Ovis aries: one gene and its partners. The protein of the gene in region 3 purifies or fractionates together with the protein of the main gene of each other region. This does not show direct contact. Links are inferred from orthologs where the notes say so. Each region holds a gene or a part of one and is shown on either strand. Other genes may lie near its edges.

Region 1 (4,177 bases), about 1.4 Mb from region 3:
CCGGGGTGGAGAACACGCAGCTAAAAAAAACACCGAAAGGACTGTGGGGGTGGGGGATGGCGCTGACACGGAGCCACACTCACCGTCTTCCCGGCGTTGTCCAGACCCAGGATCAGGACGCAGTACTCGTCCTTCTGGAACATGTACTTGTATAGGCCCGACAGCAGCGTGTACATCCTGCCCTGGGCACCCGAGATCGGTCACGGACGAGACGGCCCGCACCGTGGACAGAGGGTCCCGCTGCCCGCACGGCCGCTCACAGCTGGAGCCCAGGGCCCTCCTGGCTCTGCCTCCCCTCCCTTCCCCTCCGCCCGCCTTCGCCTCCGCAACTGCTACAGAATCGCCCCGGCGCTCCAGGTGCCCACACGCCCTCTCCGGCCCGGCCAGGGCGCTCTGTTCGCAGGCAGAGGGCAGCCTGCCCCGCCCCGCTTCTCGCTGCTCCCCCGCCCGGGCTCCCTTCAGGCTTTGCTCCCCTCGGGTCTCCTTAACCAACGCCCCCTTCGCTCGCGGCCCGCCGCGAACGCCTCTCAGAGGCGGGGCGTCTGAGGGCTGGTGACTGCCCAGAGCAGTCGTGAGGCGGGCGGGCGGCGCGGACAGACTGCGGACCGGTCGCCGAGCCTGGGCCCAGCTCCACCCACCCGCCTCGATGTACCTGCGACCGTCCGGCCGGACCGCCGAGCCGCAGAGCAGGGGAACCGCCTTGCGCCTGACCCACCGACCCGGCGCTAAACCCGCGCGGCGCCTGACGGGACAGGCGCCGGTCGGCCGAGGAGGGGGCGGAGCCTTCCCGGCAGCCCCCGCGCCAGACACTTCCGCCGGCGGCGGTGCTCGGGCGGAAGCGCCTGTGGGCTGCAAGGGCGGAAGTGGGGCGCCGGACGGCTTTGGCCGGTGAGGCCGGCTGGCCGTCTGTGGCGGCGGCCGGGAAACCGCTCGGAGGAGGGCCTGGCCGGGGCGAGGGGGTCTGGGCAACGGGGCCTTGGCCCGAGGTTGCTGGCCGAGCGGAGACGGGCGGCGCGAGGCCGCAGAGGTGGGCCCGGCGGGGGACACAAGACTTGGACGCATAGACCCCGGAAGAGCTTGAAGGCAGCTCCCGGGAAGGGAATCGAGGCCGTGGGGCTAGTGGCCAAGGGCCAGCTTTGGCTCCTCCTCTCGGAGCTTGAAATATCTCCACGTCCAAACGAAGAGACTGCTGTTCACGGTTCCGCAGGCTGACCACCGAGGGTTGCAGTCGGCCAACGCTCAGTGTCGGCGTTGTGGGGGCCGTCTGTCCCAGACTCATCTGGCTTCTCTTCTCCGCAGCTCTGGCTCCCACGCCTCCCCTCTGAGGACCCAGGGACCCAGCCCCGCAGGCGCGGGAAATCGGCCCCTCCCGCCAGGATGGACGAGGAGAGCCTGCAGACCGCCCTCCGGACCTACGACGCGCAGCTGCAGCAGGTGGAGCTGGCCCTGGGCGCTGGCCTGGATCCCTCGGAACTGGCCGACCTGCGCCAGCTGCAGGGAGACCTGAAGGAGCTGATCGAGCTCACTGAGGCCAGCCTGGTGTCTATCAGGAAGAGCAAGCTGCTGGCGGCGCTGGATGGAGAGCGCCCAGTCCAGGAGGATGCTGAGCCTTTGGCTTTCCAAAATGCCATCGTGGAGACGGCGGAGGTGCCAGTAGCCCCCGGGGCAGAACTGGAGACTGTTCCTTCGAGAGAGACTGGGCCAGGACCCACGGAGCCTGGGCAGGAGGAGGACGACGGGGAGGACGAGGAGGGCGGGGCAGCACTGAGTGGAAGAAAGGTGAACGCCCCCTACTACAGTGCCTGGGGCACCCTGGAGTATCACAACGCCATGGTAGTGGGCACCGAGGAGGCGGACGACGGCTCCCCGGGCGTGCGCGTACTCTATCTCTACCCCACTCACAAGTCCCTGAAGCCCTGCCCGTTCTTCCTGGAGGGGAAGTGCCGCTTCCAGGAAAACTGCAGGTAAGGCTTGAGTTCTCTAGGCCACTAGCAGGGGGCGGGGGGGGGGGGGGGGGGGGGGGGGGGAGAGGGCCGCGGGGACTTGCGGACAGAACCTTTGCAGTTCTTTGCAGTTTTGTTTTTCTTGGCCGAGCAAAATGCTGAGAAGAAGAGAACTTTATAGAGGCAGGGGGTTCTTCTAGCAGTATCCTTCATTAGGGGGTCTTCTTGACTTTTCCCCAGGTATGTCAGGAGTACAGAAGGGTTTATGTTGAAAAGAATGGAGCCCTCCCCCCCCCCCCCCCCCGCCGCCTTTCCGTGACCTGTCCTATGCTTCAAAGTGAAACTTCTAAAATTTACTTATATTTTAGATATTTTATTAGAGAAGTGGTCAAACACCCAGGTAACTAGGGAGAGTAGCATAGAGACTGCTCACATGTCATGGTAGGTCAATGTTTTGCTGCTCTTGTATTCTCTGTTCCTGCCCCTGGAGTATTTTAAAGCAGGTTGTAGGACTTACTGGGCATTTTGCCTGTAAGTACTTCAGGATGCCGGCTTAACCTAAGTGACAAGGATGTTAAGTTAAAAATTACCTCCGTGTCACTCTCACACCTCACCAACTTAACAGCAAGACCTTGTTCGTATTTAATCACGAATGTAATGATGTTGTGTTTTCCTTATGTACATTATGTTTAATTTTGCTTCTTTTTCCTTTCCAAGGAATATTTCCTGAGATTTCTAGTAGATGATTTTCTTCTTTAATCAGTAGTCCAGGGTAACTATTCAATATCTTCAGTTGTTTGGTTATCTTATTTCTTTACAGATTTTTGCTGGGCCCAGAGTCTTATTTGGTGCGGTTCCCCTTTTTTTCCTTTTTCCTCATGAGTTTTGTGAAAAGTGTAGTGTACATACAGGAAAGTGCATGAATCAGTCATAAGCCTCCTTGAGCTTCCACAGGGTGGGTGCTGCCTTGTCCCCCAGCAGAGAGTTAAGGATCAGAGCAGGGAGCCCTCCATCCTTCCTGCCATGGTCCCTCTGGAGGGTTCCTCCCCGTCCCTGTGCCACGTCCATGTGGGGATGAGAACTGACGTATTCATGTGCTGCTTCCTCTGGGCAGCACTGTTCCAGGGGTTTCACGTGTATTCACTCACCTGGCAGCAAGCCTGCCAGGTAGGCCCTACAGCTGCTGTGGTTGCTGGACCCCCGAGGGGCAGTCCGGCTCTGAAATGCTGCTGCCTGCTGTCAGCTTCAGGCCTGACCCATGCAGCCCACCCACCCCACCACCACCCAGGTGTAACAGTTATTTTGTTGCTTTTACTTTGGATTTTTAGTTTAAAAATTTACTTATTTAAAATTTTATTGTAAAGATAAAGTAGTGTTGAAGCACCCTGGGACCTGCTTTCTATCCTCCCCTCCTGGGAGGCTTGCCACAACTATGATGAGCATCTCTCTAGCGTGTGAATCCTTTACAGGCACGTGTGTCTGTGAACAGAATATTCTTGTGCTTTATTTTCTAATTAAACTATGTTGTACAGCCTGCTTTGTTTTGCAACTTGCTCTTCTCACTGAGCGTGTCTGGGAGAGAAGTTTACATAGATATTTATAGGACTGTTTTGTGCATTTTAACTACTATTATTTTTCCTCATTCATATGCCACAGTTTATTTTGTCTCCTGGTGTTTACCAGTTTTTATTTACTAAAAAGAACACACTGAAAATCCTAGTACACATCTTTTGTCTCTGTTGGGAATGTCCCCAGTGTGGATGGCATGAGCATTTTCTTTCCTTGCGCGCTGTCTGCTTCTAAGCCCCTGGTCTGCTCTGTCGTGGTCACCCTAGTCACTCTTGGTCACGTTCTCTAACTTGGGGATTCGTACCTACTGAAGTGAAGAGGTGGTCTTGATTGAACTTGTATTTCCTCGATTATTAGGAAGATTGCATATTTTTTCATACGTTGTTCTAACTTTATCGCTCTGTGTTTCAGTATCCTTTTCCATAAAAAGGAGAGGAGCATGTCTTTTGCAGTTGTTGAGAGGCTGGAATGCATTAATATGCATAAAAAAACAGTACCTAACATGGAATAAGGACACAGTGGACTTAAAATTTTTATCTTGTTGTGAGAAAGGTCAAATCCAGAAAGTAAAGACAGCACAAGGGATCACTGTAACACTCAAGTACTCAGCTGAAAACTACAAAGCTGCCGGTTACTCTGGGGTCCTCTGTGCCTCAGCCCAAACA
Region 2 (3,500 bases), on a different chromosome or scaffold from region 3:
CTTGATTGGTTTTGGAAAAAACTAAAATTTCAAAATACACCTTTAAGGAAAAGTACATCAAGAAAACTTGAGTGATCAAAAAATCTTCCAGTGATACCCAATGTAAGTAAGTGGTATGTAAGATAGCACACAGGTTTTCAAATTATAGTTTGTAAAAGAAAATAACCTAGATCTTTTAAAATTCCTAATATAAATTCATTCACAGTGCTTCCACTGCAGAGACAGTGGCTAATGGGGATATTTTATATTCAGTAAGTCAAAAAGAAGATTAAAGAGGATTCTTGAATTCAAGATCCAGTTGTATTTTTTTAAATCTCATTGAACCTCCTTTTTCATTTTAAAGTTATTTTAATGACAGCCACACTCTGCAAATTTACAAAGTACGTATGATGAAAGAATTTACTAACCTGGCCTTTTTTGTTTTTAGAATAGGCTCTGTTGTTGAACTGTTGCCATTTTACCTTCTGGTCCTCTCTTTCTTGTTCAAGTTCTTTTATTCTCTGTGCCTTTTTCAAAGCTTTCTTCTTTTTATATTCACGCTGCTGGGCAATCATTTCTTTTCTGTGTGGACAAAACAGGTAAATGTCAATTCAAAATGACCTCAACTAAAAGATGACTTCAGTGCAACCACTCTCCCGCCAAAGAAACCCCAAAATCGAGTAAGTTTACACACTTTTCCCTCCACAAATAAAAGCACTAACAATGCCAGCTCTAACACCAATGCCAATCACTCAGGACTAGTAAAAAATAAATGTTATTTGGAATATACAGTATCCTTGGAAGCTTTTAAACACAACTGTAGTAATCTATTACCCATTTAAATCCAATATTTCAACTGACTTTTAATTTGTCATTTACATAGCTTTTACAAGTTTTGTTTCAAGAAAAGATGAGTTTCAACATGAAAAGCTAACTAAACCTTTATCAATTTTTAAATGGGCAGTTAGCAAGTATGATATGCTGCATTTGGAAAATGCAAAGATTCAGTGCAGATAAAATTATTTCATCTTGATTGGAAGAGCTCAGCAGCACAAAGGGAAATCACAGCTAGCAATTCTTAAAACAAAAACAACTAGGGTTTTCCAATCAGAGCCTGAAAGTTCTCTCAGTAATTCCTGCTAAGTTAAGACTTATCACCAAAGGAATGAATACAGAGGTATTCAAAATGAGGTAATATGATTCAGACTTCTCTGTATCATATAATCACTTCCATGAAGTATGGTTTTTACACAATGTCAAAGACTAAAAGTAGAAATCTCATGTTGTCCTACAATCTATTTTTCTTATTGGAATGCTTAAATCAAATGTTATTGTTAATAGATGATATAATTTTCCCAAATTCAAATATATTTATGTAGCAAATTAAGTTCTGAAAACACCTAGACAAACCAAAAGATGGCAAACTGTGATAAATATGCAGAAGTTAACTGAAAACTGTTAATTCCATCTTCTAAACAACTCTCAAACCATGCATGGCTCCATCCTTACTGCTGCTCCCTTGGTTCAGGTCACCATCATCTTATACCTGGATGATAGCAGCAGCTGCCTTCTCTCTGCTGCCAGTAATCACTCAAAAGTTCAAATATGAACATATCAAATGCTCTCCACTTGAAATGCATCAGTGGCTTTCTAGCTCTTTATGATCTGGCCTCTACCTTTCTAACCTCTTTCTCTTGTTAAGCTACCCACCCTCAAGCCCCAAGTTTTTAACCAAAGGATTTCTTTCTGTTACTTCTATGTTCCCCCCCATTAATGTACTTCTTGTTTAACTTGTTAAGTCATGTCTGACTCTCTGCAACCCCACAAACTACAGCCCGCCAGGCTCCTTTGTCCATGGAATTCCCCCAAGAATACTGGAGTGGGTGTCCATTTCCTTCTCCAGGGGATCTTCCTGACCCAAGGATCAAACCCACATCTCCTGCACTGGCAGGTGGGTCTTTATCACTGAGCCACCAGGAAAGCCTATGTGTCAAGAACTGTGCCACATGTTTTACTCAAGCTATGAATGAATCCTTACAACCCCATAATGGAGATACTACTATCCCTGTTTTATAGATGAGGAATCAGAAGGTAAGCAGCTTGCTCAAGATCATACCTTCTAGTTCATTAACTGGCCAACATCTGTCCTTTTCAAATCTCAGTTTACATGTCATTTCCTCCAAGAAATTTGCCCTCATGACAAAAATGCAGCTTGTTACCTTTTCTTTGTTCTCTAAAAGTATCTGTTGTGTTCCCTCCATTACTTCTACATTAAAGTTCTTCTTTAATTATGTGTCTATTCTTCAGATTGTAAACACAGTTAGGACAAGGCCTATTTTGGTCTTCTTTGCTGTGGTGGAACCCAGAACCTGGTTTAGTGAGATATACTCTTAATTTTAATCTTAAGATATCCTCTTAATAAATAGGTATTAAATGCCTAAGCAGGAACCCCAAAATGTCTTCACTTTACCTAGGTATACATATTAACAGACACTGTTAACCATACACTGCTAACCTTCAAAATAATTGTAAACAGTATTATAACTTTCTTACCCTAGTATAGCCTGCACAGATTCTGCAGACAACCTCAAATACCCAAATGGGGAAGATTACATTTAAAATGCTAAAGTCAAAGTCACTTACTTTGACATGGGTTTGTTGCCACTGTCCTCCTTTGCCTTCCTTCCTTCTTCTACAGGCTTGAGGTTCAACAGTGGAGTCACTTCAGCATTGCCATAGCCAGCAAAAGTGATTGCAGCGGTGCCGTTTTCTTCATCTATCTCCTCAATCTCCGCTTCATAACACCTGTAAAGATATCATGGCTGTAAGCAGGTGAGTAAAGGTTTAGTACTCAGCCTATAAGACTTATACTGCAGTGATTCAACTATTAAATGTGTCTAAAATGAAACATACAATCAAACGTCCCTTTGGCAAAGATAATACAAAAGAGCAGCTAGAGTTAGCCACTGGTTTTTAAGGAAGGAAGTCCCAACCAAAATATTGCCCAGAAGTCTCTGACACATCTACTAAATGTGTTTTAGTCATTTCTGTGAGAAAACATACTTCTTATATGAATCATTTCAGTATATGTGCATCATGGAAGTCTAAGAGAGCCAACCATTACTCAACTTGCAACCCAAAGAGAAAAGCACTTATAGACTGTATTAAAATAAAGAAAATCCATTCACTTTCCTCTATTTCATGTCTATTTCCTCTAGCATCTAAGCCATTCTTCTGCCCTAAAACTTACTCTAAAGCTAAAAACTAAACTATAGGAATGGTAACCACCCAAGAATCAAATCGGTTGTTTAAGTCATATCAGCCATATAAAGACTAAAATAGAGTAGTTCAAGCTGAATAAAAATCACCTTACCATTGTACTTTACTAGTTCATGTTAAGTTACAGTTTTTTTCTACACTTACTGTCCATCTTCACTCCAGATTGCCATACACTTGTCTCCTACTTTCCATGAATGAGTGGGCTGAGTAGAAGCAAAGTTGTCTGAACTTGCCAGAGTTTC
Region 3 (4,279 bases):
TGCTGCTCTTGCCCACCGTCTGCAAGGAGAAATCAGCAGGAATGAGACTCAGCTCTTTTGGACCCACAAAACTGCTGCCTTTCCTTAAAACTTCTGCTGCAGCCTTATTTTCTGTTTGTCCTTCTCAGTATTCTCAGTTCTATCTTTCAACCACAGCCATTTCCTAGGAATTCTCTCACCTGTTTTCAAACCTGACCTGTTATTGTCCCTTCTCGTAAAATCATCTTTTTCATATAACAATTGCCTTTGTCTATGTTGCATATCTTTGTCTATGCTGTAGTCATATATGGATGTGAGAGTTGGACTATAAAGAAAGCTGAGCACAGAAGAACTGATGCTTTTGTACTGTGGAGTCGGAGAAGACTCTTGAGAGTCCCTTGGACTGCAAGGAGATCCAACCAGTCCATCCTAAAGGAAATCAGTCCTGAATATTCATTGGAAGGACTGATGCTGCAGCTGAAACTCCAATACTTTGGCCACCTGATGCGAAGAACTGACTCATTTGAAAAGACCCTGATGCTGGGAAAGATTAAAGGTGGGAGGAGGGGACGACAGAGGATGAAATGGTTGCATGGCATCACCAACTCAATGGACATGAGTTTGAGTAAACTCCAGGAGTTGGTGATGGACAGGGAGGCCTGGTGTGCTGCAGTCCATGGGGTCACAAAGAGTTGGACACAACTGAGGGACTGAACTGGATTCAATGTTGTATTATGTTTCAGAAGTGAGAGGGTAAGATGGCTCCAAACTACTGAACCCCATGCATATTAGAGATCAGTGGCCATCTACCACTGTGCAGATTACAGGTGACTCCAGTGCTGTGGAACACCACCATCCCATTAAAAAGACTGAGGTAAAAAAAAAAAAAAAAAAAAAAAACACCGAGTAAAAGAGCTGGAATGGGACTGGCACTAAGAACCCAATCAATGAAGAGCCTGTTATCAGAAAGGAGATGAACAGCTTAGAAGAGGAGAATGGAACCACCGAATCAGTGATTTGTTAGTGTGCCTCCAAGACTATATTCAGCAACGTCAAAACTTCCTAGTAACCAGAGTGCTAATGAGTTTGAACACATAATGAGAATATACAAGCTGCTATACTCCTTAACCCAACAACCTTTTCTCCTTCACAGCCTGGCTTCAAATGTAGTTGTGCTAAAATAGAGTATACAGACCTCACAAGAGGACTGTCAAGTGCCCTTGGCAGTTACATCTCTATGAATAAACATTTGTTATATCAGCCTCCCATTAGTTTGACCAGTCTTAACTCATCCAAGAGCCTTTGAGGTACCAGGCACTGTGGTTGCTATTCATCTCTGTGAGGTTGAACAAACACAGGTTTTCTGAACGTACAAATGCATGGATCAGAATCTTGACTCCTGTTACCCTGGAGACTCAAGTTATGCGGTGCAGTTTCTTTTACATGACCATTTTAACCAAACTGTAACCACAGCTTCTAACCACTCGTGTCTGAACCTTTACAGTAACATTTACAGCTCCATTTGTCTTCTACAGCTAATTCGCACTGGGCGCTGACTGGCAGGCACTGCCACAAGCACTACTTATCTCATTTAATCCTTAAAATCAGACTTTACAGATGAGGTCACATGGCTGTAAGAGGTCAAGCTGTGCTGAAAGCTAGTGAGCCTGAATCCAGTGCCTACTTTTCTAACCAACTCTCTAAACTACACCCTGCTTCCGGTTCACCCGATATATAACAGCTACCTAACAGTTATCTTTCTGAACACAAATAAGTACGTGTCCTTTTGCTTGTTAAAAATCCTTCAATGGCATCCCTTACCACTAACAAAATTAAATAGCATGTAAAGCCTTTAATAACCAGATTCCCGCCATTTCCTCCCACCAACATTCTTCCCTTTCCCCTCTAAGAATCTTCAACAATGCTACCCTTCACGCTTTGTTCTTGCAGTCCTTCGGATCTATACCATTCTTTCCCATTTTCGCCCGAGTCTTAGGACTCTGACAGGGATCACCGAGTCTAGAAAACATTCTTATCTCGCTCCCCGCCGTTACTTTTACTTAACGCTGAATTACCACTCCGAATTATGTTACCCGTGTCTCCAAATAAGAGTGAACGCAGTGAAGAAAGGAAACACTTCATTGTGTAGCCCCAGGGCCTGAAAAGTCAGGCGTACTCAAGCATAAATGCTGAACAAAAGAGTTAAACTTTTCCTCCCTCACTCATCCTCCGTTCCCTCCTCCCCATCTACCAGAATCAACACTGTTTCCGGCCACAAGTCCTTCCACGTCTTTCCGCAACTCCTCGGACCCTCACCCTTCACAAGTCTGAGCCTCTCACTCGGTCTTACTCAGTCCTTCTACGGCGCTAGTGCTTGCTCAGAAGCCCCCTACACACATACATGCCGCAAAGTTTACTCAGCGCCTGTGGGATCCCACAGCGGCTTGGAGAGACCCAGCCCTAACCTCGCGCGTACCAAGCGACTTCTGGCCTCGGTCCCTTATTTCCAGCCTTCTACCCCACCCCCCACCCCGGACCCCCTCGCCCAGTCCACCGAGGGACGACGGTGTGAGTCTTTCCTACGCAGACGGAGGCGCCGCGGCCCGGGCCTTCACCCCCTGAGCGGCCAACCCATGACCTCCTTCCTGGTTAATCGCGATCCCCACCCCACAAGAGGCTCAGGAGCTCCCGTGCTGCTGGTCTGCGCCTCCTCACCATGGTGGCGGTTCTGATGGCTCAGATTCCCGCCGGATTCGTCTTCGTGGAGGCCTAGAAGCCCGCGAGTAACTCGCTTCCCGCCGCCGCTACCGGAAATGTAACCGCAGGGAAAATGGGGTCGGGTAGCAAGCTGCTTCCGGTCCCGGAGTTGGGCCTTGAGTTCCGGCCGAGGCGCTGAGTTATGAGCTTAGGGCAGGGCGGAACTTTGGGCGGTGCTATCTTCGGATCCTCTTTGTTGGACTGCTTCCCGGCTTCAGTCGGTACTTAGAGCTGCTCCTTTTCACCTTCACCACCCATTCCCCCGCGTCCCAGCCCGTTAACTTTCGGTCCTCATCTCCCAGCACTTTATCCCGGCTCTCTTGTCTACAGGACTTTCGTGGTAGTTCAGCTGGTAAAGAATCTGCCTGTAATGCAGGAGACCCCTGTTTGATTCCTGGGTCGGGAAGATCCCCTGGAGAAGGGATGGGCTACTGACTCCGATATTCTGGCCTGGAGAATTCCATGGACTGTATCAGCCCATGGGGTCGCAGAGTCAGACACCACTGAGCGACTTTCACTTTCATCTCTTGTCTACAGCCACAGTCCCTGCTTTTCCGTGAACTTACTCGACCTGCTTCTGCACAGCACCTTTGCTGTTGCCTCTGCCTAGAATGCTAGTCGTCCATGTATGTGCACGGCTGACAGCCTCACCTTCATGAATTAAGTTCAAGTAACGTTTTCCCACTGAGGGCTTTCCTGGCCGTCCTTTTCTAAAACTGAAACCTTCCCACCCATCCCTGTTTTATTAACACCTTTCTCCTTAACACTGATTGCTAACATACTGTATGTGTGTTATTATCCCTCCGCATTAGAATGTGAGTTCAAAGGATATGAATTTTTCTTTGTCCATTGTTCATTGCTGTAGTGCCTAGAACACTGCTTAGCACATAACAAGGGCTTAATAAATATTTGAATGAATGAATTTATCAGTCACTCCCATCCAGTCCCATGACTTTTTTTTCAATGATAACCTTTACTAAAATGTCCTAACACACACACACAAAATGTATTTCCAATGCATTACAGAAAATATGACCATTCAGGTAAAGACACAAAAAAGAAAATTAATGTTTTAATTTTTTTATATTTTGAATTTCCATAATTTTTTTTGTATTTTTGAGATTTGGACAAAATCTATACTTTAGTTAGTAATACTATATTACACGCTAATTTTCTTGTTTTTTTTGCAGCATATTTCTTTATATATTCAGAATTGAATTAGAAGTGTCAAGCCTAATTCAAATTTTTTTTATCACTAAGATAATAAACTTTTAAGACTTTTTTTCTAGATGCCAAAATACATGGAAGTATTTCAGAATTTTAAGTGAATATAAATTAGAAGTCTAGAATTCTATTAAGGCTAAGTTAAACAAGTGGAATCAAAATGTCAAATATTTTATTTAGGCAAAAATTCACAAGTTTTATAAAATATGTATATATTATATTATACATACTATTTATGTATATATTTGTGTATACAAAAGCTTTTCTACTATGCTTAGTAAACACTTGAGAAAGGACGTCAAAAAAAAAGAGAGAAATT
Region 4 (4,235 bases), on a different chromosome or scaffold from region 3:
AGTACCTGAGAGGCGCCAGAAACTGTTCCAGTACTGGAGATACAGCAGTAAGCAAAACAAAGCCTCTGAACTCATACTGCTTAAATTCCAGTGAAGCAGACAGCAGTTAGGCAGAAAATAAGAGAATTTCAAACAGTGTAAGTGCTAATGAGAGAACAAAGCAGGGTGTGTGATGGGGAGCAGCATGAACAAGAGGGCTCTGGAAAGAATTTTTTAAATGACATGTAAGCTGAGACTTGAATGATGAGAAATAGAGAGTCCATAAAAATCAAGGAAAAGAATTTATTGTGTAGAAGGAACAGCAAGACACTGAGGCAAGAGCTAGCTTAGCATGTTTGCTAACTAAAAATAGGCACGTGTGGAATTCCCTGGTGGTCCAATAGTTAGGCCCTCACAATGCCAGGGCCAGGTTCAATCCTTGGTCAGGAAACTAATATCCTGCAAGCTATGCAGCACTGCCAAAAAAAAAATACTCATGTGGTCAGGAGTGGCAGTGACCAAGAGGAAAACTGGCTCAAGATGCGTTCAAGGAGGTAGGCAGGAGTCAGATCACGGAAACGTGTTTTAGGGCAGGCTAGAAGAACTTGGCTTTTAGTTTAACTGCAGTGGGAAACTTAAAAAGGTGTTAAACCAGAAGTAATATGGTCTTATTTTACATTTTTAAAGAATCACTTCGGTGACTTGCAAAAGGCAAAAATGGACACGGAACCACTGAGAATGCTATTATGGTAATCCAGACAGAAGATAACAGTGGGGACCTCTCTGGTGGTTCAGTGGCCAAGACTGCACTCCCAATGCAAGGGGCCCAGGCCTGATCCTTGGTCGGGGAGCTAGATTCCACATGCCACAACTAAGAGTTTGTATGCCACAACTAAACAATTCCTTGTGTCCAACTAAGACCCGGTACAGCCAAATAAATAAATAAATATTTTTAAAAAGGTAACAATGTTTTGTTCTAGGAAAGTGAGAGTGGAGACGGAAAGAAGAGAGCCTCAAGGCAGATTCTGAAGACAGAGCTAACAGGACTTACTGATGAAGGGAGGAAGCAAACAGGAGACACTCAAACTCCTATATGGCCTGACCAACTTAAATGGCTCACAGCACCATTAGTGACTGCAGAAGACTGGGGAAGGAGAAGATGGAGGAAGAAATTTAATGTTTCATTTTGATCCCGGTGAATGTAAGATGTCAGTAAGAAAACCAAGTGGCGATTCCAGGAAGGCAGCTGAAAATGCAATTCTGGAACTTAGGAGAGAGTTGGAAACAGTAATGTGAGTTATCAATATACAGACGGCTTTTAAAACCATAGGACACTAAATGATTATTATCTAAGTAGGCATTCTAGTTAGGAAGAAAACAGAGGAGGACCCAGGGACTTCCCTGGTAGCCCAGTGGTTAAGAACCCACCTTTCAATGCAGGGCACACAGGTTGGATCCCTGGTCAAGAAAGTAAGATCTCACATGCTGCAAAGCAACTAAGCCCACCTGCCCCAACTAGAGAGCCCAAGCGCTGGCAGGAGAAAACCTACACCACAGCGCCGCCACCCCCTCACTACCGGAACTGCAACTAAGACCCAACTCAGTCATAAATATTTGTTCTAAAAACAGGACCCAGGATTGAGCTCTGAAACACTGTAACGTTTAGAAGTCAGGCATAGAAGCCAGAGAAGAAAACTGGAAAGAAACAATAGCCAGTGAAAAACAAGAAAAGATAGTAAAGTATGCCATCACAGAAGCCAAAAATGTGTTTCAAGGAGGGAATGCTGATCTGTGTCAAGTGGAGAAAGACTGGAAGATAAAGGACTCACCCTCACCTTTGTAAAAACAGAGATGACAAGAGCTGTTTTAATGGCATGGTGGGGGTAAAAGCCTGAGTGCAATGAGTTTAGAAAAAAATGAGAAGTGCAAATAAGCAGACAGTAAACACAGGCAACTTTTATTGTAGGTTCTACTCATCACAAACCTCCGGATCTTTGAGTTCCTCAGTGCTTGCAGGACAGCACTGAGGAACTTCATTGAAGGAACTTCATTTCATTCAATGAAGTATGCATTTATCAAACAACCACCATATGCAAGGCACAGTGCTAGGCACAGTGTGAGTTACAAAAGGAAATCAGCAAGATCCTGTCCACAGGAAGCTTACAAAACAATAGAGGATATAAGACACATACCAAGATGCAGGCTCAGATGAATTGCTGCACGACTTCAAAGAAGTTTCCTTTCACTTGAAAAAGGAAATCTGGAAAGAGTGTAGAGGAAATGGCTCTTGAGTATTAAAATATAGGTAGAATTTGAAGATGTGTAATTGAGGGTTCCGGAAATAAGTCATTCCCGGCAAAAGAAATAATACAGGAGGCGCAGAGGCGGGAAAGCATGACTAGTTATGGGAGAAAAGCCAGAGTTTCAGTTTGGCTGGAGCAAGGGCTACTCCAAACATGAAAGAATAAGATCGGACTGAGGATATCACGGGTGCTGTGCGCATGGGCAAAGGTCTGACCCGTAACATCGTCCAGGGACCTGCCCTATCCCCGCCGGAGCCAACACTCCCACTGGGGCCCGCGCCCCTTCGCTCCTGCCGGATAGGTCTTTCCAAGCTCGTGCCCTTTCCCTATGGCGTTCTTCCTCTCCTCGTCCCAGAGACAGGGTCGACCGCTGTGCCCTCATTCTCGCCTTCTCTGCAGGCTCGTGGAAACCGCTTCCATCGCCCGAGACTCACCACTCTTGAGCCCAAACCGCCCAACGCGGCCTCAACGTCGCCGAGTAGTCGCCATCTTTCCCGTTTCCTGGTCGCCGGGCTGCTCCCTCGGCCGCGCGGCAAGCCGGGAAGGCGAGTTCCTGGTCCCGGGCAGCGGAGGCCAACAACGCGGGGCCGAGAACTACCAATCCCCGAATGCACGGCGCGAGCGCCGGTCCCGGGACGCGGGGGCCGCTGGGCAATGTGGTTCGCCAAACATTTGAGTCTGTGGGAGGAAGAGTTGTTCATAGGTGGACTTTCATCAGAAGGTTTTTCTCTCTGCGGGCGCAGCCCTCCTGGAATATGCTGGTTTTACTGAAAACTGTAGTTAACGACATCATGGCCCGTGGCTTACAACGGAGTAATTTAAGGCTTTCCTTACATATGAACTCGCCTGGCGTGCTGCAATTCATGGGGTCGCAAATAGTCGAATACGACTGAGCGACTGAACTGAACTTATATATCAATAGCACGTAGTTACAACTAGCAACTGTACTAACAGCAATAAATACTTTACCATTTGTGGAAAAGTGGGTTTAAAAAAAAATCTTTGAGATAGATTATTTACAGGTGGACAAATGAAAATTTAAGTTACAGGAGCAGCCTAGTATTTACCAGTGAGGGTGGGACAGTTCATTGTGTGAGACTATCCCAGCTTTGGGAGAACATATTAACAACCCTGGCCCCCGCGGTAACACCGTAGTTACTGTTACAACATTTTGAACATTTTGAAATGAGCTCACACAGTGGATTGCACCTCTTGGAAAGATAGTATCTTCCGGGCTGTGACACCTGGTTTTCTAAACATCCCAGATAGGACCTGCCCTTTTCACTTTCTCGCTCTTTGGAATCTGGCCAGTTGTTTGGGTTACCTTAATACTTTTTCTTTCTCTCTCTTCAGTCCTCCAATGAGCTTTTTCCCCAAAAAAACTGTACTTTCATTTTGTTTCTCTTTGGTCTTGTGGTTAATAATTCTACCTCCCTTCCTCCCCAAAACAAAAATCTTGACAACTTCTAGGATGGTTTAGATAGATGCGTTCATGCTAAGTCGCTTCAATCGTGTCCGACTCTTTGCAGCACCACGGACCAGGAAGTAACTAACGTCTCCTTCCTTTCCTTTTTTACCATCACAAGCTTTTGGGTTTCAATCCCACACGGCTCTTGGTCTGGTTTTTCGCTCTGAATGTGTTCAGTGCTGCTGAAGTAGAGCCTGGAGTAAGCCCAAATAACCTAAAACTCGGAACCTCACTGCACAAAGTCCAACAGTAACCCCAGGAGAGGCATCCTTCTGCTCTTAGAACTCTGAAGCCTTTATCTGCCCTCTTGGACCTCAGAAAAGGGAAGGAAAAAGTTGTCCGAGATCAGTTAGGTGTAATTCGCCCAGTGAACACTGGAGGGCTCTCCACTCACAGACTGGAACTAGCAATCAGACCAAGGGGTAGAGCTGCGACTGCTCTTAACTAAGTTATCTTCTACTGCCCAACTCTGTGCTGGATACTTA
Region 5 (3,500 bases), on a different chromosome or scaffold from region 3:
TTGTTTACAATCACACTAGATAATACAGTCCCCATAATATAGCAGTGCTCACAGTGTACACTGGATTAAAACACTGGAACCAGCTAGTCAAACAGAAGATTAAGAACCAAACGGCTAGAGGTACTGTCGATTCCCAACACTGCCTTCAGCAAGCAGTGATGGGACATCTAGGATAGCTGCTGCAGCCAAGGCCAAATGCTTCCTTTTGAGGATAACATGCCTGCATCCTCCACAAAAAGCAAGCATGTGGGAATGAAACAGTCCATCTCAATTAGCATCCTTTCCTTTCCTTTGCTCCCTTAAGGCGAAATTCCACATCTCTTCACCAAACAATTCAAATACCACATCCTTTAGGAAAAAAATCTTCCCTATTTTCTGAGCTGGCAGTCATCTCTCCCTCCTGTAAGTTCTCAGGAATCACAATCATCACCGCTTAGGACACTTATCTGAAAGTAATCTGAGGAACTGTTTTGTCCTTCCTACTTGATTTTTATGCCCCTTAATGTCACAGTCAAGACTCCTCTGAATGTCATATAGACTTTCAAATGAGAATAAATAAAATATGTAAGATAAACTCAAAATGATCCAGAGGAGAAAACAAGGTGTGGACTAAACATTAACTGTCTATAATATCCTTGCAATTTTTCTGTAAATCTAAGACCACCTAAGATAAAAATTTTATTAAATATTTTAAAATGACCTAGAGATAAAAAGCAAGACAGCCTATCATATTGTGCAATTGAACAGTGAGCTACATTTTACAGGAAGGACTCAAGAATACATATGAAAGGCATTTTATTTTATCCTTTTGTTGGTTTATCCAGGTAATGGTAGCAAGAGTACCTGATCATGGTACAGGAGAATCTTGGGAAACTTCACAATCAATAAAATCTCAATGTCATGTACGCTACACTATCTGACAGTGACTCTGCTCAACTGAGACCATAATCTAGCTGAACAAGATTCAACAAACATACACAGGAAGAAAGCAATGTCCAGCAATTAAAAAAATATTTTTTGCATAACAGATTTTAAAAAATAGAATTAGAAAAAATTAGGAGGCAGCAGAGGACTCAAAACCAACGATTCTCCATCAGGCTCTTTCTCTCCCAACACCATGCACACAGTGTTAACGCATGTGTACATTTTTTTGTGTTTGAGTGCTTACTTTCACCAGATGATCACTGGGATCCAATGAGGAGCAAGTAACTTATCAAGAACTATTGGTCTAAATTAGGTTCAAGTCACTGAAATTTTGGTGACTTGATGAATATTCAGGCAGTCAAAACTTTTTAAGTCCCCTGAGACAGCAATATTGATAGCTAACGTTTATTGAACAGTTACTATAAGCCAGAACTTGACCAAGTACTTCATCTGCATTCTCATTTAATTCATACAGCAATCCTTAAGGCAGATGCTATTAAGCCCATTTTACAGAAGAGGAAACAACAGCTTAGTAACAATTAAGTAGAGCCAAAATTCAAAACAAAGGTCACCTTGCCTGTGTTCCAATAAAAATTTACAAAAAACAGGCAGTGGGCCTCTAAGAGCCTGGAGTTTGCCAACCCCAACTGCTAAAAGTAACTGCCATAGGAAGATTTATTTTATTCCTAACAAAATCAAGCCCAGGGCTTGCTAAAATGCATCAACACAAGAACCATGATGAGAAAAGGATATGGGATTTGAGAAGATAATTTTGAGTGTCCATTTCACCTAAAATGTCCAACAATAAAGGATTCATTAAATAAATTCTGATCCACCCACTGTGAAGCTACACTGCAAAAACATTAAAAATTGTACGACTTAAAAGCACATAGTAATAAGAAATAAACTTAGTAAGATATAAATACATATATATACTGTATTTAACATAGTTTAAAATGTAAGTATCTAAAAACTATGCAGAAAGATCAAGACTAAAATGAGGTGCAATAAAATGTGCCACGCAAGTCAGACTTCTCAACCTACACATTGTGGCAAGTGAACCTGGAATTAACAGGTATTTTTCCCCTTTGATATCCATTTGCCAAATTTTTAAAGTGCCTATTGTGTTGACATGTTAAAGATTAGGAAATTTAAACTGTAAACTTTATGGAAACAGGTGAAGAGAAAAACATTTTTGTTTCACATAAACACTGAATACATCTTTGATATCATCAGAATAAAGCCTTAGGCTGCTTTGCTAGCACTTGCCTCCAAACCCTGCATATGATCTAGAAATTTCAATCTTACCTCAAGTCCATGCCTTAAGACTCTCAGAGATGACCGCGGTCCCCTACCACAGGCCACATAGAGCTGGGGAGTGTCTTCATTGGCCAGATCAGCTATCTGCACAAAGAAAAGGGGGAGAAATGCCTACTTGTGCTACTTTCCCACACACAAACTTGATTATTCTCATGGGGACAAACCACTTTTTTAGTTTATTAGGCTTAAATATTACTACGGGCCCTGGGCACATGGAGTGAAAAAAAGACCCAATGTCCCGAAAAGCAAGCAGTTTGAAGCAGCAAGTTTTACAAACAAAAAAAGCTTTTATCAGTTCTTTGTTTTGGTCACACAGCACGTGGGATCTTGGTTCCCTGAACAGAGATGGAACTTGTGCCCCCTGCAGTAGAAATGTAGAGTCTTAACCACTTTAAGCCCAAGGATTTATGTAACGCTTTTTAACCCCCCAACTGCCTTCAGCTATTTTACCCTTATACCCCGGCGGGTCCACAGATATGCTGCTGAACCTCTTTAGACTATGAGGTTAATTTGAATTAAAACTTTAAACTCATTCATATTAAAAAATAGTTGGTTAGCACTGCTCATTATGTAGTGACTTGAAAGATCCTCACCTGGCAAAACAAAATGGGAGAGAGGCTGTCCAACTCATCAACCAACACAAGGTTTTTCAGTGGTCTTGGCTGAAAGAAGAACGTGTCTCCTTCTTCTAGAGGCATGGCAGATGAAAACTCAGGTTCCTCGTCGTCATCTCCAAGATGCGCGATTTGATACAAGTAACTAGGGAGAGGCAAAGATTTCAGGTAAAATGTTTTCTCTGATGTACATTATAAATATAATTAACACTTCCATATGTTATACATGAACCAAATGAGATTAACTGTGATAACCATTTCATGATGTGTGTAAGTCAAATCACTATGCTGCATACCTTAAACTTACACAGCGCTGTATTTCAATTTTATCTCTGTAAAACTGGAAGGGGAAAAACCCAATAAGCATTTAAAAAGTACTTCTGAAGATGTCTGCCATCAACATAATGCTCATAAATCACTTTAATATTGAGTCGGCATCTACAGTTTGAGATCTCTGCTTACTGACTAGGGTTTTCTATGTCTTTAAGAACAGGGTACATACCCAAAAGAATTTAAAACAAAGACTAAAACAGATATTTGCACACCAGCGTCCAATGCTGCATTACTCTCAACAGCCAAAAGGTGGAAAGAATCCAGGTGTCCATTAACAGGTAAATAGTATGTGGTACATACATATAGTGG
Region 6 (3,939 bases), on a different chromosome or scaffold from region 3:
GGTGGTCCAGTGGTTAAGACTCCATGCTTCCAATGCAGGGGACACGGTTCTGATCCTTGTTTGGGGAACTAAGAACTCATGAACTATGAGGTGTGGCCACCAAAAAAAAAAAAGAAAGGAGAGAGCGAGCAGGATGGAGGGATGGAGCAGAGAGAGCCTAGACCATGATGTAGATATGAGAAAATCTCACTGAAAGTCTCACAGTGGGCAGAAATAACCAGGCTGTGATACCCCTCCCCCACACTGTGTTCAGTCGCTGGTTAGGGGCTGCCCAGGAATATGTGTGCTCTGTCGCTTCAGTCGTGCCCAACTCTCTTTACGACCCTATGGACTGCAGCCCGCCGAGCTCCTCTGTCCATGGGATTTCCCAAGCAAGAATACTGGAGTGGGTTGACATGTCCTCCTCCAGGGGATCTTCCAGACCCAAGGACTGGACCTGCAACTGCTGCAGTGCAGGCAGTCTTTACCACTGAACCACCAGGGAATTAGCAGGCAGCTTCTTTACCATGAGAGCCACCTGGGAAGCCCTAGAAGAGAATGGCTTTAGCTTAAAGCTGAGGGAAATTCTGAAAGAACTCGCAGTTGCAGGATGTCACCTAACTACGCTGCTTATTGCTAACTGGTAAGTTCCTTTTTGAAAGGACATCTGAATGACCATCTCCATTTTCCTAACACATGTCCTTTGTATACTCTTTGGACAGGACTGGAGAAAAAACTTTGCAAGGTCATACCTCATTTGGGTGCTTCCGGTGGAATTCCTTTATTTGTTTGAGTCTATTATAGAATTCAGCAAACTCATTGGGTCCTGAAATGGCATTGAGCTCCTCTTTTCGTAAGCTGCAATTTCAGAAAAAAATCCAGAAAACATGGAGCACAAAGTCAGTCCTTTAACCATGGCCCCTCAAAAGCAGTAATTGCTGGACTGAATGTGACTGTGACTTACCCATCCTTGTCGTCATACAAATCCCTCAGATTCCCACTGACTTCCATATACCTCTGAAAGGCAAACACAAATCCATTAGAATGAAGCAATCCGCCCGTACAACTGAGACCCAAGCAACCAACAAGGGCTCTCTAGTCAAATCTCAGGAAAACTTCAAGACATGTGGTGTTAAAAGTTCTTATGCTTTCTGGTACCCTTAACAGACAACACTGGCTCCTAGCTAATTTTTAAAACAGGTCACTCTGAAGATTACCTAAGAAATGTGTTTTGAGGGGTGGCAGAGTTCCCATATTTAACTTTCCCTAGAAGAGTCATGGGCTTCCCTGATGGGTCAGTGGTAAAGAATCTGCCTGCCAATGCACAAGACGTGGGTTGGATCCCTGGGTCGGGAGAAGGAAAAGGTAATCCACTCTAGCATTCTTGACTGGGAAATCCCATGGACAGAGGAGCCTGATAAGCTACAGTCCATTGGGTTGCAAGAGTCGGACATGACTTAACAACTAAACAACAGTAGAAGTATTGTATTGTAAAAGAGAGCCATGTGAGAGTCACCCTTTGGAAAACAGCAGTTCCCATCAAAGACTCTCAAAGATAAAAGGGTAGTCCAAGTTGACTTCCACTATTTCAAAAGGCTTGACTAAGGAATGCTCAGGCTAAGTAAAACACCACACAGCTTCCTCTGGATTCAAATTCAGGATGGCACAAGTACATAGCCCATTCTCCAAAACTTTTGGAACCAGATTTGCTTCTGAATTTGGAATTCAGGAAGGTACTACATGAAATATCCCTAGTGGGATCTGGAAAACACATTAATTAGTTCTGCAGTGAAAGTTATGTTATTTATTGAATGGGATAAAGACCATAAAAAACCTCTCATCTGATCAGATCAAGTCAGATTTTTGCCACCAAATAATTTCCAAAACAAATTAAAACATCTTTTGTTTTCAGAATACTTTGGATTTGGGAATCTAAATAAGGGATTAGGGGCTAGTAATATTTATCTATCCTAATTCAGAAACTCTGATTAGGGTCTTTATTTTTTTTTCTATGGGGGAGAAGGAGAGTACCTTCTAAGCCTGAGGCATTGACACCTCATAACTACTCTTTGCACATCCATGGGACACAGGATGCTGTAAAGGGGATCTTCTCTAGTAATTAAAAATGAGTAAGAGTACTCCATTCGGAGAAGGGAGTAAGGGTGGTTAAACATCCTCAGGGTTGCTTTCGGCGCGTACATTCGGCAGGCATACAAACTCCTCGACTGGCCAATCGGCTACCTTTTTCCCGCACCCCCTCCCTCCTCTTCCAGTCTACCGTGCCCAAAGAGAAGCGGACAGCGGGACACTCACATCTTGCATGGCCCGCGTGCGGTGGTCAGAATTGATCTGGTCCCGGAGCTGAAAAAAGGCAAACGGTGACATATACGCCGTTAGTCGGAATTCTGGAGTTGGGAAGGCCGCCCGAGGGCGGAGCTTACCTGCTCGGGTCTTAGCAGCCCAAGCAGAGAGGCCTCTGGGCGCTGGGCCCCGGGGAAAGGTTACCTAGGCCTGAGCTCGGGGAGGGAATCCCCCGAAGGGCTCGGGGCGGGGCGGGTCTGAGGGCTGAAAAAAACTCTGAGGTTAAACCCGGGCCGGGGGCCCGGCCTTACGGTAGCCCCTGCCTAGGTCCACTCACCGTGGACTTCTTAGTGAGCATCTCTTTGGCCATGACATCCATAAGCCGTTCCTTCTCCTCATGATAGCGCCGCTGCTGCTCCAGAATCGTTTCCATCTTCCCTCCTCCTTCTCCTCCCCCGCCGCCGCAGTCGCTGCCGCCCCAGCTCAAGCCAGTCCACCAACACGACCGGAAACAACCCCTGCCGCCTTGCGCGCCCGCGTCCGCAAGTTACGAGTCCGGAGGCACCAAAGTTCCGCGGTTGCCGGAAGTTCCTCGGGGACTCGAGGAAAAGTGAGCACCGCTAAAGACCCAGTCCGTGCTATGGAGACTGCTGCAGTGCCCCCTGCTGGCCGGAGGTGTGTGGCGCGATACCGAACGATTTGCAGGTGCCTCTAGGGGGCACACAGAAATCCATCAGCCTGGCGTTAAGGAATCTGACCTGGCCGGCGGGGACTTCCCTAGCTGTGCGGCCGTGCTGGTAGGGACCTGGACTGAGTAGCTGACGCGCACGTATGGGAGCTGATGAACCGGAACTTGAGTCTCCAGCTCAGTGTGACCTGTGACAACGTTTTTCCCTCAGTAAAATGGGAATGATCGCGGGTTTTTTTCCTTTCATTTATTCTTTTCTTTCTCCTTCCCTTCCTCTCTTTTGTTATGTGGAAACAACCTAATTGTCTATCAGCAGTGCTGCGTGCGTGCTAAGTCGCTTCAATCATGTTCGATTCCTTGCGACCCTATGGACCATAACCCGCCAGGGTCCTCTGTCCAAGAGGTTCTTCAGGCAAGAATACTGGAGTGGGTCTCCATCCCCTCCTCCAGGGGATCTTCCCCATCCAGGGAACAAACCCACATCTCTTATGTCTCCTGCATTAGCAGACAGGTTCTTTACCACTAGTGCCACCTGGGAAACCCAAGGGACTGGTTAAATAAAATATAGTGCATTCAAGCAGTAAAATATTATATAACTGGAAAAAAAAAAACCGAAACAAGTCTATATGCCCACATCTAGCTGGAGAAATGAAAACCTATGTCCATATGTGCAGACATGCATAGCAGCACTATTCATTATCAACAAAGCTGCTACCCCCAGTCATTAACTGGTAAATATACAAACCAAATATGGTGTATCCATACAATGGAACATTATTCAGCAATAAAGGAGTGTTACAATATGGATGAACCATGAAAGCATCATGTTATGTGAAAGAAAGCAGACACGCAGAAAAAAACAACAACACACACACACACACACACATTAGTGGACGTCCAGATGGCAAATCTACAGAGACAGAAAGTAGGTGAGTGGTTGCCTGCTGCTAGAGGTGAGATGGGAAGGAAAT
Region 7 (4,296 bases), about 42 Mb from region 3:
AGTAATATTCCAGATTCAAAGAAAAGTCATTCTCAGTCTTCAGTACTTTAACTTGAGAAGTAACAAACTCCATGCACATCTTGACCTGTCGAACGTTCCTGTAAGGCATAGACAGCTTTCCAGTGTACTCTTTTCTGTCTTTTAGTGGAGAGGATCAGTGGTACAGATTTTTCCAAGTTCTGTTTCTCCCATATGAAAATCTATGGTTCTTCAAATAAACACAGTTGAATCTAACCTTGTCTCAGTTGCAAATCAGGGCCACAATTTATTTTCTGTTGGCACTCAGCATACTTGACAGATTTCCTTCAGCATGTGTTTAAAATTAGCTCATATTTGTGTAATGAAATTTGAAATATTAATGACAAGTGTAGATGAAAAATAACTTTTTAAAAAATAATTAAAACAGCGAATCCAGTATGCCAAAACAGATTCTGATATAATATCTAAAATGCGTGGCACTTTTGCTGACAAAGAAAAGAAAAAAGAAAAGAAGAAAGCCAAAACTGTGGAACAGACTGCAACAACTGTGAACAAAAAGCCTGGTCAGGTAAGATGGGCAAAAGTTCATATTTTGTTGTATATCAGACAGTTTTATTTGAATTTGCATCTATCCTCCTTCCTCCATCATTATCCAAAATATGTTAATATCTGTTGGCTTATTTTTCGAGTTCTGTGTATAAATAATACTATAGATTTTATCTTTATTTAGTATTCCACTGAAATTAGTCTTCTTTGAACAGTTCATAAATTCAAAAATCTAATTTAAAAATTCCAGATAAAGGTGAAATTATCATCCAAAAACTAGTTACTTTGGGATTGAAAGTAATTAGAAATCAGTTTTGATAAGTATAATGCTTGAGTTTTTTTTCTAGTTGTTTTAAAAAAAGAAAAGTGAGAAAGGCTGGTCCTTGGTTTTTCTCCTGTATATTTCTCCATAATTTTGAAACTTAGAGGTTGACTTTTATGATACAGACCTTTCAAAAATATTTGACAAGTTACAAATACATAAATGTTCGAGTCAGAGTTTTAAGATGTAAATTCTCAAAATAAAATGGAATAAAAAAATCTTATGTTAATCTTATTTTTAGTGCAGTAATTTTAAACACTTGCTACTTTTTCAGAGGGATTGGAAGTTTTAACTGTTTCTCACTCTTTTTCCTTTAGGGAACACCAAATTCAGCTAATACCCAAGGAAATGCAACACCAAATCCTCAGGTAATATTTTTTCCCATGTGATACTTACTTTAAAATAAAATTACAAAACAATAGCAGTAATGTACAACAAGCCTCATGTCTCCAAAAACTGAAAACGATTCCATCTGTAAGCCACAATAATGTGGAACCTCCTTCCTCAAAACATTTTCTTTAAGAAGAAGAAAACAAAACCTGACTTTATTCCTTGCTTCCCACAATGATCAATGACAGGATTAAGCAATATATTCTAAGTTCTATAAAGATAAGAAGCAGAATAGTTGTTTTCTTCACATGATGTGGCCCAGAGCTTTTCGGGCTTGTTGCTTGGAATCCATTCCCATTGGCTAAAGCACTAACCCATCTTTTCTCAAAGAGCGAAGTTGTTCTATGGTTACCTTTGTTCTTATTTCCTCAGTACATATATGTGTAAGTCTCCTGATACAGATCTTTACCCAGTGACTCCACGGTATAGAATCCGCCTGCAGTGCAGGAGCTGCAGGAGACGTGTGTTCTTACCAGGATTGGGAAGATCCCCTGGAGGAGGAAATGGCCAACCGCTCCAGTTTTCTTGCCTGGAGAATTCCATGGGCCGAGGACCCTGGCGGCTATAGTCCATGTGGTTGCAAAGAGTCAGACTCAACTGAAGCAACTTAGCACAATATAGACTTATCAGGAAACGCTACTAAATCTTCCCAATAAAGGCCTCAGAAATCTTGAGTTATACACTAATGGTTTCCCACTTGGTCCCTTAGGTGCTAGCGTCCGACAGGATCCTTACCTCCAGGGAATCCCTTGCACCACTGAGGTTTCCTCCTCTGACTTTAAGGTTCTCACATTGTCTACTGCTTAGAAGTCTCCCAGCAGCTGAGGTCCAGCACATAATTCTCTAAGCCCTCAGTTCTGTACATTTCATCTCTTTTCTCCCGAGAAATTCACTCTCGTTTACTTGGGAAACACATGAAAAGTCGCCAAATATAGGTTCTACATGGAAACTTTCTCTTTTTCTCTATCAATTTTTTTATTTTTGGCTACTTTGGGTCTTCGTTGCTATGCACAAACTTTCTCTAGTTGTGTGAGTGGGGGCTACACTCTAGCTGCGGTGTGCGGGCTTCTCATTGCAGTGGCTTCTCTTGTTGCAGAGCATGGGCTCCGTAGTTGTAGCACTAAGTGGAAATCTTTTTTTTTTTTTTTTTTAATTTTCTTACACACTGGGAGGTAGTATGCAGTAGGATTGAGTATCTGAGGGTTAAGCAGCTGAGGATGGGTGACACCAATGCCATCTCTGGTTTTGTTAAGACCAGTTATATAATCCAGATGACAAAAGCCTTCTATTCCAGCTGCCTCCAGATCCTTAAAACTTAAATATTATTTTAAAGACTGTTAATTAAATACTTAATATTTAAATACTTTAAAACTGTTGATAAGATTTATAATCTTCCAAATATTTCCTAAGTGACTTGAATGTCAGTCTTAATTACTGTTAGGTTTTGTTTACTTCTCTGATGTCACTGTTTTTCACCTTTAGAGCTTGATGTGGTAAGATTTCATAAGCCTTAAACTGTGGAATGTAATTATCTGAAATTTAGATTTAAATGTATGAGCCAAAGTGACTTAGTATGCTTTTTATACTTCTAAGTTAACTTGGCCTTTTCTTTTTAATAGGTTCCTGATTACCCTCCAAACTATATTTTATTCCTTAATAATCTACCAGAAGAGACTAATGAGATGATGCTCTCCATGCTGTTTAATCAGTAAGTGTTTTCATAAACAGTCTGTGTTCTGAGAGCCTCCTGACAGGATAGATAGCACTTCCCTGGGTTGAATCCGTTTGTATACCATACAATAATTCCTTACGGCTTCATTGATTTGCTCCAGAATTAATCTTGAATTGAAACCAGTATGCAGATTAAGCAAATAAGAAGCTGAATTACCTCTAACGTTTGAATTATTAATTCTAATTGATAAGTAAAGTAGAAGACAAAGCTTTGATGAAGTGACAGGAATAGAATTGGCTTACATGATTCCTGCCGTTCTTTTCATGGTATTAATTATATTTCAGGCTCTTTCATCCCACTCAGGATTCTTGGTGGGATGTGATCATTTTCCTGGACATACATCATGATGTTGCTTAACAAATTTAAATACAGAATAGACATTTTGTATTTGATGTCATTTCTATATTTGTATATATATAAATTGTTTACATATGTAAGCATTGTTTTCATTCATTATAGGTTCCCTGGTTTCAAGGAAGTACGTTTGGTACCTGGGAGGCATGACATCGCTTTTGTTGAATTTGAAAATGATGGACAGGCTGGAGCTGCTAGGGATGCTCTGCAAGGATTTAAGATCACACCGTCCCATGCCATGAAGATCACCTATGCCAAAAAATAACATTTGGGATAGCTGTCTTTAAAGGACTCACTGTTATTTATAGCTTTCGTTTTGATAGCATTTGATCAGTTCATTTTAATAGCTGGGAAAGGGGAAGTGTATGTGAGCTTTTTGTAAAGGATTTGAAAGGTTACGTAGTCTCTGTTTAGCCTTAGTGAACTGTGAAGGCCTTAATTTTGTACAATAAAATTTTTATTTGTATTCCTTACCTAGTATTTCATTTATTGACCCACTGCCCTATCATCAAATGCTGGTGCTAGGCTAGGACACATCTTAAGGTACATAAACTGTAATGGGATGCTTTTCTAGTGTCATCTTGGAGCAGCTAATGGTAGAGACACTTTAATAAAAGTAAAAGAATTAGATCAAGCACTTGATTAGATTTTCTGTGTTATTTTTTATGCATATGAACTGCCATCCTGGGACTTATTTTTGTGTTATTCATTCATGTATTTATTTATTTGGCTGCACTGAGTCTTAGTTGCAGCATGTGGGATCTTTGGTTGTGGCAGGTAGGATCTAGTTCCCTGAGAGTGAATCAAACGCAGGCCCTGCTGCTTCGGGAGCACAGAGTCTTACCCGCTGCGCCACCAGGGAAGTCCCTTTTTTACTCATACTTGTACCAATACTAATACTTAAACTTGTACTAATAATAGTAATGATCATCCTGCATATTAGAAGAAAATGAGACCTGGGCAGGATCTGAAT

The links.
Region 1: the proteins of SNRPB (region 3) and ZGPAT purify together in Homo sapiens (affinity purification with mass spectrometry; 3 studies listed by BioGRID and IntAct, with this or other methods). This does not show direct contact. The link is inferred for Ovis aries from reciprocal best matches to the Homo sapiens genes SNRPB and ZGPAT.
Region 2: the proteins of SNRPB (region 3) and SMNDC1 purify together in Homo sapiens (affinity purification with mass spectrometry; 3 studies listed by BioGRID and IntAct, with this or other methods). This does not show direct contact. The link is inferred for Ovis aries from reciprocal best matches to the Homo sapiens genes SNRPB and SMNDC1.
Region 4: the proteins of SNRPB (region 3) and DDX23 purify together in Homo sapiens (co-immunoprecipitation; 3 studies listed by BioGRID and IntAct, with this or other methods). This does not show direct contact. The link is inferred for Ovis aries from reciprocal best matches to the Homo sapiens genes SNRPB and DDX23.
Region 5: the proteins of SNRPB (region 3) and SF3B3 purify together in Homo sapiens (affinity purification with mass spectrometry; 3 studies listed by BioGRID and IntAct, with this or other methods). This does not show direct contact. The link is inferred for Ovis aries from reciprocal best matches to the Homo sapiens genes SNRPB and SF3B3.
Region 6: the proteins of SNRPB (region 3) and SF3A3 purify together in Homo sapiens (affinity purification with mass spectrometry; 4 studies listed by BioGRID and IntAct, with this or other methods). This does not show direct contact. The link is inferred for Ovis aries from reciprocal best matches to the Homo sapiens genes SNRPB and SF3A3.
Region 7: the proteins of SNRPB (region 3) and SNRPB2 purify together in Homo sapiens (affinity purification with mass spectrometry; 3 studies listed by BioGRID and IntAct, with this or other methods). This does not show direct contact. The link is inferred for Ovis aries from reciprocal best matches to the Homo sapiens genes SNRPB and SNRPB2.

What each region holds. Positions count from the first base shown.
Region 1 is NC_056066.1:53,744,868-53,749,044, reverse strand, and holds the start of ZGPAT (zinc finger CCCH-type with G patch domain-containing protein), read left to right. Parts: upstream 1-1,377; coding exon 1,378-1,964; intron 1,965-4,177. Other genes in the region: ARFRP1 (ADP-ribosylation factor-related protein 1), read right to left, coding at 84-176. UniProt on the Homo sapiens protein: Transcription repressor that specifically binds the 5'-GGAG[GA]A[GA]A-3' consensus sequence. Represses transcription by recruiting the chromatin multiprotein complex NuRD to target promoters.
Region 2 is NC_056075.1:30,411,048-30,414,547, forward strand, and holds part of SMNDC1 (survival of motor neuron-related-splicing factor 30), read right to left. Parts: coding exon 3,403-3,500; intron 2,785-3,402; coding exon 2,623-2,784; intron 562-2,622; coding exon 408-561; intron 1-407. UniProt on the Homo sapiens protein: Involved in spliceosome assembly.
Region 3 is NC_056066.1:52,392,153-52,396,431, reverse strand, and holds the start of SNRPB (small nuclear ribonucleoprotein-associated proteins B and B'), read right to left. Parts: upstream 2,801-4,279; 5' UTR 2,698-2,800; coding exon 2,695-2,697; intron 20-2,694; coding exon 1-19. UniProt on the Homo sapiens protein: Plays a role in pre-mRNA splicing as a core component of the spliceosomal U1, U2, U4 and U5 small nuclear ribonucleoproteins (snRNPs), the building blocks of the spliceosome.
Region 4 is NC_056056.1:137,338,863-137,343,097, reverse strand, and holds the start of DDX23 (probable ATP-dependent RNA helicase DDX23), read right to left. Parts: upstream 2,801-4,235; 5' UTR 2,717-2,800; intron 2,240-2,716; 5' UTR 2,172-2,239; intron 1-2,171. UniProt on the Homo sapiens protein: Involved in pre-mRNA splicing and its phosphorylated form (by SRPK2) is required for spliceosomal B complex formation.
Region 5 is NC_056067.1:1,098,706-1,102,205, forward strand, and holds part of SF3B3 (splicing factor 3B subunit 3), read right to left. Parts: intron 3,004-3,500; coding exon 2,838-3,003; intron 2,329-2,837; coding exon 2,233-2,328; intron 1-2,232. UniProt on the Homo sapiens protein: Component of the 17S U2 SnRNP complex of the spliceosome, a large ribonucleoprotein complex that removes introns from transcribed pre-mRNAs.
Region 6 is NC_056054.1:12,733,427-12,737,365, forward strand, and holds the start of SF3A3 (splicing factor 3A subunit 3), read right to left. Parts: upstream 2,801-3,939; 5' UTR 2,714-2,800; coding exon 2,618-2,713; intron 2,341-2,617; coding exon 2,293-2,340; intron 997-2,292; coding exon 944-996; intron 838-943; coding exon 732-837; intron 1-731. UniProt on the Homo sapiens protein: Component of the 17S U2 SnRNP complex of the spliceosome, a large ribonucleoprotein complex that removes introns from transcribed pre-mRNAs.
Region 7 is NC_056066.1:10,398,374-10,402,669, forward strand, and holds the end of SNRPB2 (U2 small nuclear ribonucleoprotein B''), read left to right. Parts: intron 1-406; coding exon 407-547; intron 548-1,164; coding exon 1,165-1,215; intron 1,216-2,856; coding exon 2,857-2,945; intron 2,946-3,428; coding exon 3,429-3,588; 3' UTR 3,589-3,796; downstream 3,797-4,296. UniProt on the Homo sapiens protein: Involved in pre-mRNA splicing as component of the spliceosome. Associated with sn-RNP U2, where it contributes to the binding of stem loop IV of U2 snRNA.